Xenopus tropicalis: one gene and its partner. The protein of the gene in region 1 interacts with the protein of each later gene in a biochemical or structural test. Links are inferred from orthologs where the notes say so. Each region holds a gene or a part of one and is shown on either strand. Other genes may lie near its edges.

The links.
Region 2: the proteins of dab2 (region 1) and fcho2 form a complex in vitro, tested with the Homo sapiens proteins (2 studies listed by BioGRID). The link is inferred for Xenopus tropicalis from reciprocal best matches to the Homo sapiens genes DAB2 and FCHO2.

Annotation. Positions count from the first base shown.
Region 1 is NC_030677.2:196,524,338-196,528,920, forward strand, and holds the start of dab2 (disabled homolog 2), read left to right. Parts: upstream 1-1,696; 5' UTR 1,697-1,863; intron 1,864-4,583. UniProt on the Homo sapiens protein: Adapter protein that functions as a clathrin-associated sorting protein (CLASP) required for clathrin-mediated endocytosis of selected cargo proteins.
Region 2 is NC_030677.2:183,060,391-183,064,211, forward strand, and holds part of fcho2 (F-BAR domain only protein 2), read left to right. Parts: intron 1-856; coding exon 857-986; intron 987-1,823; coding exon 1,824-1,935; intron 1,936-2,724; coding exon 2,725-2,880; intron 2,881-3,821. UniProt on the Homo sapiens protein: Functions in an early step of clathrin-mediated endocytosis. Has both a membrane binding/bending activity and the ability to recruit proteins essential to the formation of functional clathrin-coated pits.

The DNA of each region.
Region 1 (4,583 bases):
GGAGCGGGTCCGGGGGCGGTGAGATCGCTCTCTGCACTAGAAGAGCCGAATTTCCGGTTTAAAAACCGTAAATTCGGCTCTTAAAGTTCAATAAATAACTCCAAAGTGCCCTCTTCTTAAAGTTGCCAGGAGCGGCTTTTTGCCACCCCTGGTAACTGGGGCGCTTCTGCCGCCTGAGGCGAGTTTCTCAACTCGCCTAATGGCAGAAGCGCCCCTTTCTGCCCCTAATTGCAAAATGGCTGCTACTGGCAACTGCCCCGGCGCACTTTATCTCCTTTGTAAATCAAGTCCATTTCTGTACAGAGCTACAGCCTATGCCAGCGATATATAAATAAAGGCTAATTCTACACTGCAACAAGTGAGGATGATAAATACCCAGTGCTGTTACAATCACCGAATAAACAGTTAGGGTGAAGACACGCGGAGCTACTAGCAGCAGCTACTTGTCACGGCTACAGAAATTGACAATGTTGATCATTTACTGATAACTGTCTCTACGTGTGTTTTAGCAGAGGCAATTCTCAGTATTGTCTATGGCAGGGGATTTTCTGAAGTCTAGTATTCATGAAAAAGTAGCTGCTACTAGTAGCTCCGTGTGTCTTCACCCTTAAACTGGCCATACATACACCGATACTATCGTACAAAACCTCGTTTCGTATGATATTCGGTGCCTGTATGTCGACTCGGCGAGGCGACCGATATTGCAGGAGGCTGCTGATATCAGTCGACTTGCCGATCGGGCGAGTTGGAAGATTTTGACCGGGCACCATAGAAGGCGCCTGAACAAAATCTGCCGTCAGGGCTGAATCGGCAGAAGGAGGTAGAAATCCTATTGTTTCTACCTCCATATCTGATGATTCAGCCCTGAATGTCAGTGGAGGGTTGGAACGATCTTTTGTGTGACCGATGGCTTTAGGGTGAAGACATACAGAGCTACTAGTAGCAGCTACTTGTCACAGCTACTAAACACCAGAGAATCCCCTGCCATAGACAATACTGAGAATTGCCTCTGCTAAAACACACGTAGACCCAAATATCAGTAAATGATCAGCATTGTCAGTTTCTGTAGCTGTGACAAGTAGCTGCTACTAGTAGCTCCGTGTGTCTTCGCCCTTAGGGGCAGATTTAGCAAAATGTGAGTCTGCATCTTAATACATAAAAACTCACTCATGTTCTAGTTATTCCTATGGGATATTTAGATGCCTATCTATCAAATGGAGAATTCTAACATTCACCCACTGATAAATACTCTTCTAAAGATCCCACAGGAATGACTAGAACATGGGGAGTTTGTATTAATCTGCAGACTCACATTTAGATAACGAGTTGGACATGGGGGACACTGGGATTTAATGCCCCCTTTCATTCTTCAGGACAGCCCTGCCAGTTGTACAGCAGCATTTCAGCAATACCCCCCCCCCCTCCCATAGGTGCCACAAGGGGCAAGTAAAATGCTTATGTTTCCCTCCCCTTACAGAGCAGCCAGCACCCTTTCGTTTCCAGGTAGAAATGGACGGACGGAGGAATGTGCTTCCTGTGATGCCGACGGTGCGGCTCTGAGGCAGGGCAGTGCGACCAATTGCCAGTCGCTGCTGCCTTGGTGGGGGCAAAGGAATGGTTAAAGCGAGTCGGGGTGGGGGAGTAGCCGAGGCATCAGGCACATCCAGCACATTCCTGGGCGCACTGAGCTGCCAGCAGCATCTGATTAGCGGCACACACAGTATCGGCGGGGCGGCGGGCAGGGGCTGAGCTAAGGCGGCCGGAGGAGGAGGAGGAACAGCGGCAGCAGGGGAGGAAGGAGCAGCAGCAGCGACAGCGACTGACAGCCGCACATCCCAGCAGCCAGGGGCGATTAGCAGCACTGTGAGTAATGAGCCTCTTCTTCCCTCACTGGGGCACAGCTGCCTGAGTACTGCGCTACCGGGGGCAAATCTCTCACACACAGGGGCAAATGTCTCACACACACAGGGGCAAATCTCTCACACACAGGGGCAAATCTCTCACACACAGGGGCAAATGTCTCACACACACAGGGGCAAATCTCTCACACACAGGGGCAAATCTCTCACACACAGGGGCAAATCTCTCACACACAGGGGCAAATCTCTCACACACACAGGGGCAAATCTCTCACACACACAGGGGCAAATCTCTCACACACAGGGGCAAATCTCTCACACACAGGGGCAAATCTCTCACACACACAGGGGCAAATCTCTCACACACACAGGGGCAAATCTCTCACACACACAGGGGCAAATCTCTCACACACAGGGGCAGATCTCTCACACACAGGGGCAGATCTCTCACACACAGGGGCAAATCTCTCACACACACAGGGGCAAATCTCTCACACACACAGGGGCAGATCTCTCACACACACAGGGGCAAATCTCTCACACACACAGGGGCAAATCTCTCACACACACAGGGGCAAATCTCTTACACACAGGGGCAAGGAGCTGGCATGGAAAGGGTCTGGGGCAATGAGAAATGAGTGCAAGGGGGATTTAAAAAGAATTAGAGAGCTAGGGATACAGAGAGAGGCAGACAGGGAGAGACAGTGGCTAAGGTGTGGGTTGCACTACTCCCAAGGGGGTTACACTCATTCCAATGAATTAAAGGGGCCGCATATAATGTGTTTGTGCTTGGGGGGGGGACTCATATAAAAAGGTGAAGGGGTTAAAAGCTTTTGGGAGTCAGTGATTGGGATCTGACACTTGTGGACAGTCACAGGTTGCCTGCCCCAGAGGTAGGGACATTATAACTGAGACATTATGAGGGACATTATAACTGCTACCTCCTGGCAAGTCAGCAAAGTGGCTGTAACTCTATGGGCCCCATTGGCTCCTGGGTTCCTGTACAGCAATATTTGACCCAGAGTCACAAGTGGGTGTCATAGGGGCACTTACAGACAGCTGTGGCTGAGCGTTGTAGTCCAACCGTGGCTAAAGGGCCAGGGGTCAGACGTCCCTAAGGCAAAGTGTGAGTAAGAAACAGAAGGTGCAACTGTAGATGAGCAAGGGAGCCAGCCATTCATTCCCCTTCATTCAACCACTATTCTCCTCACCCAGGCACCTCTCTCTTCCTATCCCTCTCTCTTCCTATCCCTCTCTCTCTCTTCCTATCCCTCTCTCTTCCTATCCCTCTCTCTCTCTCTTCCTATCCCTCTCTCTCTCTCTTCCTATGCCTCTCTCTCTCTCTCTTCCTATCCCTCTCTCTCTCTCTCTTCCTATGCCTCTCTCTCTCTCTCTTCCTATCCCTCTCTCTTCCTATCCCTCTCTCTTCCTATCCCTCTCTCTTCTCTTCTTATCCCTCTCTCTTCTCTTCTTATCCCTCTCTCTTCCTATCCCTCTCTCTTCCTATCCCTCTCTCTTCCTATCCCTCTCTCTTCCTATCCCTCTCTCTTCTCTTCTTATCCCTCTCTCTTCTTATCCCTCTCTCTTCCTATCCCTCTCTCTTCCTATCCCTCTCTCTTCCTATCCCTCTCTCTTCTCTTCTTATCCCTCTCTCTTCTTATCCCTCTCTCTTCCTATCCCTCTCTCTTCCTATCCCTCTCTCTTCCTATCCCTCTCTCTTCTCTTCTTATCCCTCTCTCTTCTTATCCCTCTCTCTTCCTATCCCTCTCTCTTCCTATCCCTCTCTCTTCCTATCCCTCTCTCTTCTCTTCTTATCCCTCTCTCTTCTTATCCCTCTCTCTTCCTATCCCTCTCTCTTCCTATCCCTCTCTCTTCCTATCCCTCTCTCTTCCTATCCATCTCTCTTCTCTTCTTATCCCTCTCTCTTCTTATCCCTCTCTCTTCCTATCCCTCTCTCTTCCTATCCCCCTCTCTTCCTATCCCTCTCTCTTCCTATTCCCCTCTTTCTCTTTGTCTCTGCCAGTGCCTCTGTCTCTTTCTCCGTCGCTGTGCTGCAGTTGTTTGGTTACCATGACTCACTGGAAGGTTTAACATTGCTTCCAAAATAATCCCTTCTCCCATGATTTCCCACAAAGCTCCCTTTCCCTTCTCTCCTGTACTAATCCAGTCCCCCCCTGCATTCCTCTATAGCTCCGATCTAAAAATAAGGGGCCAGAGAGGAAGCAGTTATATAAGCTGTGGAGTCCGGCCGCAGCCCATACCATGCAGAACGGGGGGCACCCTGCACAGATCTGCCCTGTCTGGGCTGCTGCAAGTCATTTCCCCTTTGTTTGAATAGGGAAAGGAAATCCCTTAGTCTCACTCTGCACACAGAGGCATTTACTGGGAGGGGGGATAATATTCATTTTTAAAACCTTTTAGGCAGCGCATTCAGCTTATATAGTATGTTCTGATTCTATTACTAAATAGACATTGGATCCACACCCCCTTAGGCTATATTTGCCTTTTAATTGCCCAGTTTATTGGATAAACTCCTAATTAAAGGGAAAATGTACTCTGCTTCTTTCTTGCAAAAGGCTATGCATTTATTGTGCACATTGAATGCCCATTCTCTGCGTATTTGCCTTTGTACATACTGTATGAGAGCAGATGCCATACTGCTTTTCTAATAGTTATGCATGACCTGCTTGTGGCCACTAGGGGCGCTGTTGCTATTGATGCCTA
Region 2 (3,821 bases), about 13 Mb from region 1:
TATAGAGCTCATTATCGCTATTTAAACTAACAACTTATTTTTGGAGTGGTAGTAAGCAAAATAGCTCCTTTAGGGTAATGTCCCAGTTGCCTGCACCAATGCATAGGCCTTTCCACCGGCAAATCCCTATATTGTCAGTGGAAAGGCTTTTCAGAGAGATTAGGCTAATGTCCCACATGAAGATTAGTCACCCCCGATAAATCTCTTGTACTGCGGGTGTCAAATTTGCCCATGGGACATGCTTCTTATTCACTGTAATACATGCTTGGGGAACAGGACTTTAAGGGTCCGTTTGCCTTTAAATCAACTTTTATTATACTGCAGATTCTGAGACAATTTGCATTTGGTCTTCATGTTTTAGCAACTCTCTGGTGGCTACAGATCAGTTTACGCTAGCAGTGGTTTGAGAGACTGTAGAAAAATAAGAATTGACCCCAACCCACCTACCTACCCACCCACCCACCCACCCATTTGAAAGATGGAGAGTCAGAAGAGAAAAGCATATCATTAAAGAACTATAAAAATATCAGTTTGCTAAGAATATGACTTGCTAAAACATACCAAGGGATAATGGTGAACTACCCCTGTAAGCAGTCTGGGGGCCAACAAAAACTCTCAAAGATTGTGACATCTAGACCATGGGCCTCCAGTTGATCAGCTCTGCTCAAGGGCATAGGGAAAAGTAAAATCTGAATTAGTAACAGATTTAGAGAAACAAAAGAGAGACCCACTAGACAAAGATTTAAAGAATGCTAGTTTTTTTTACTAGATGTGCAAAGGGACTTAATTATCCTTTGGGCCATTACTTTATACGTTTCATTTGTACATTCAGATGTGTTCTTTGTTTTGTTTTAAGCCACGGCCATTCAGCCCTCCATTGACGTCGAACACCAGTCCTCCTCCCTCAGCCTCCTTGCCTCGCGCTGAGAGCTCCTCCTCAATATCATCTTCCGCTTCTATAAGTGCAGCAAATACTCCCACCTTTGGTAAGTTGTCATCACTGCAGATGTCATATATAGTCACTTTTTGGCTTATTTGTGTATATTTCATGCTACTCGTGACTGTCTCTGCTTCCTCTTGGCCAATAAACAGCAGTCTGACCTTGCTTTATGGCAGAAAATGTAGATACATACTTATAATAAGATGCTTAATCTCTTACCCTTTGTCTGAAAGGATCATTAAATAAGTGTAAACCTACCCAACTGACAAACTGACCTAAACCTGTACCGAACAGCCATCTTATTTAGCTTTAGATTTTAGCTTTAATGATGATCATGAGTCCATGCTAATCTGTAGCACATGTGTGTCAATAGTGCTAGAACATTCATGTTCCTTTTAGGAAACATTACTATAGTTCATTCCTTGGTGTTTCTCCATGTAAATGTTTTCATTCTCTGTAAAGGTGCTGGGTATTTGAAAAGTGTCAGGGTGAGACCAATCCAATGTTTTGTGTCCCACAGCTTTCTAATGATGTGCTTACGTTGCAGGCGGCTGGAAGTAAATGAGGCATGTCTGTTTGTTAGTTACTCACACATGGACTGTGGTTTATGCTATTGCGGGGGGCCATTTGTCTCGTAAAGCCATCCAGATGCCACAATTAGCATGTCTGTAGCCTTGGAAAGGGTAACACAGGTTATCTTGTAAAGGAACCAGCTGCCTACCCATCCATTATGCCTCTTAATTATAATTGTAGATATATATACATTTATGTAACCATTTCCCATGGAACATATCTTTATTTGGTAAATAGATTGGACAAACTGACAAATAGCATGTTTATATTCCCATGCATCCCAATTAACCTAATTACCCTTGTGTTCTAGGCATATCCCGAGGCCCCAGCCCAGTCACCCTTGGGAACCAAGACACATTGCCAGTTGCTGTTGCTCTTTCAGAGTCAGTGAATGCCTACTTCCGAGGAGCAGATCCCACAAAGTAAGTGTTCTCCTTGCAGATCTGTGTTTCACCAGAGGCTATTGCAGTGGATATTTAGGGTATGAACACTACTAGCCTCTGTTTAGAATTGCTGATAATATTATTGAAAGTTATGTGGTGCAGTTTCCCTTAGTATCATATTACAAGCATGTGAACACTTGATGATGGCAATGTCTGTTGTATGGGTTACCAGAAAGAGAACATTAATGTATTCAGGAGGCCTAGTAAATCCTCTCCCCAACATATATGCCTCCTAGGAGATTCTCCAGTTCATCCAAATGTCTTGGCCAGAAATTAAAGGCACTACATGAGGGCCACACTATTATCCTATTCACACTTTAATTTGCTGTGTGAAATCTAAATACAACTTAAATTGGCCGTACAGATCGGCGGACAAGGACCAAATCAATACACCGATACTCTCCTTATCCTGACAGGATTTTTAAACCTGCCTACTGTAGGTTGGGCTGGCCCATCTAAAGGGCTCTATACACAGGCTGATAAGTTGCCTACTCAGACCAGCAGCAACTTTTGTCTCTTATCAGAGATGCTTCCCATATACCGGATAATTGGTGGTGGCTATAAGGAAAGGTTTACAGAATGGCAGCTGCTGTACATACATTTGCTATTTGTCTGACTGGTAAAATGGTTATTAGGCTTCTATATATGTAGGGATCTAGGAAACGCAGTCTGAGAACAAAATGGTTTGTGGATCTGCTACCAAAGGCTTAGTTTAGCAAGTAGAAATGTGAATATGTATTAATGTAACATTGTTGGTATATTTTGCAGATGCATTGTAAAGATAACTGGGGAAATGACAGTTTCTTTTCCAAGTGGGATAATTAAGGTTTTCACAAGCAACCCATCTCCAGCTGTTCTGTGCTTCAGGCTGAAAAACACCAGCAGACTTGAGCAGATCCTACCAAATAATCAGCTTTTATACAGGTACTCCAGGCGACATCTGAGTTGTGGCTACTTTGTAGCTACACAAGTGACTTTAGCTATGACTAAAAGTAACTAATTCCATTATATCATTACTAGAAACACTTATATGCTTTAACTCTCCCAAACCCAGGCTATAGGCAGGTATAGAAACTCCCTACTGCCATTTCTTGTTTTCCCTTAGCATTTGTCTAATACTAATGGGTGAATTAGTATTTCTCTCATATGAGGGAGTTACAGATTAACCTTGCAGTTTCAGCTTTGAATAAGATGCCATTGTACTCTTCTAAGTAGTCACAACCTTTTTTTTTTTAATTAAAGCTCACACTCTTCCTTCAGGCTAAACCCCCAACTTTGTCTTTGTTTACGGTAAAGCTCTGCAGCAAAGCTATACCATTGTACTGAACAATTTGTAAGAGGAACATGTAAAGGGGACCTGTCACCCAGACATAAATGCTGTATAATAACAGTTCTTTGCAAAATAAACAAATCATTTCTTAATAAAAATAATTTCTTTATCAAAACATTCATACCTGTTATGAATATATTTGAAAATCTGAGCTGTCAATCAAATATTGCTGGGCCCCGCCTTTATGCAGTGCAGACAATTGCTTTTGCTTTCCATTCTGCACTTCCTAGTTGTCACTGCACCCCTCTTTTCCCCCTTCCTTCCCTACTCTGTTTAATTGTGTAGCCAGTGCATAGGCATTGGTGCCACTTTTGGCACATACACATGATTTGGTGATGATACAAAGCTTACCTTAATAACAATGCCCACATAATGGCACCCACCTGCTTGCTGTAATTGTGATTTCCAAGAAACAAAATATAAATTATTTATATAGTGTAGGTAAATTTATTTCGCTCCACTTACATGATAAACCTTTTGGAATTATTTTATAACTAGAGGGAGATTTGTTAAACAAGTATATAGGCAATGTGTA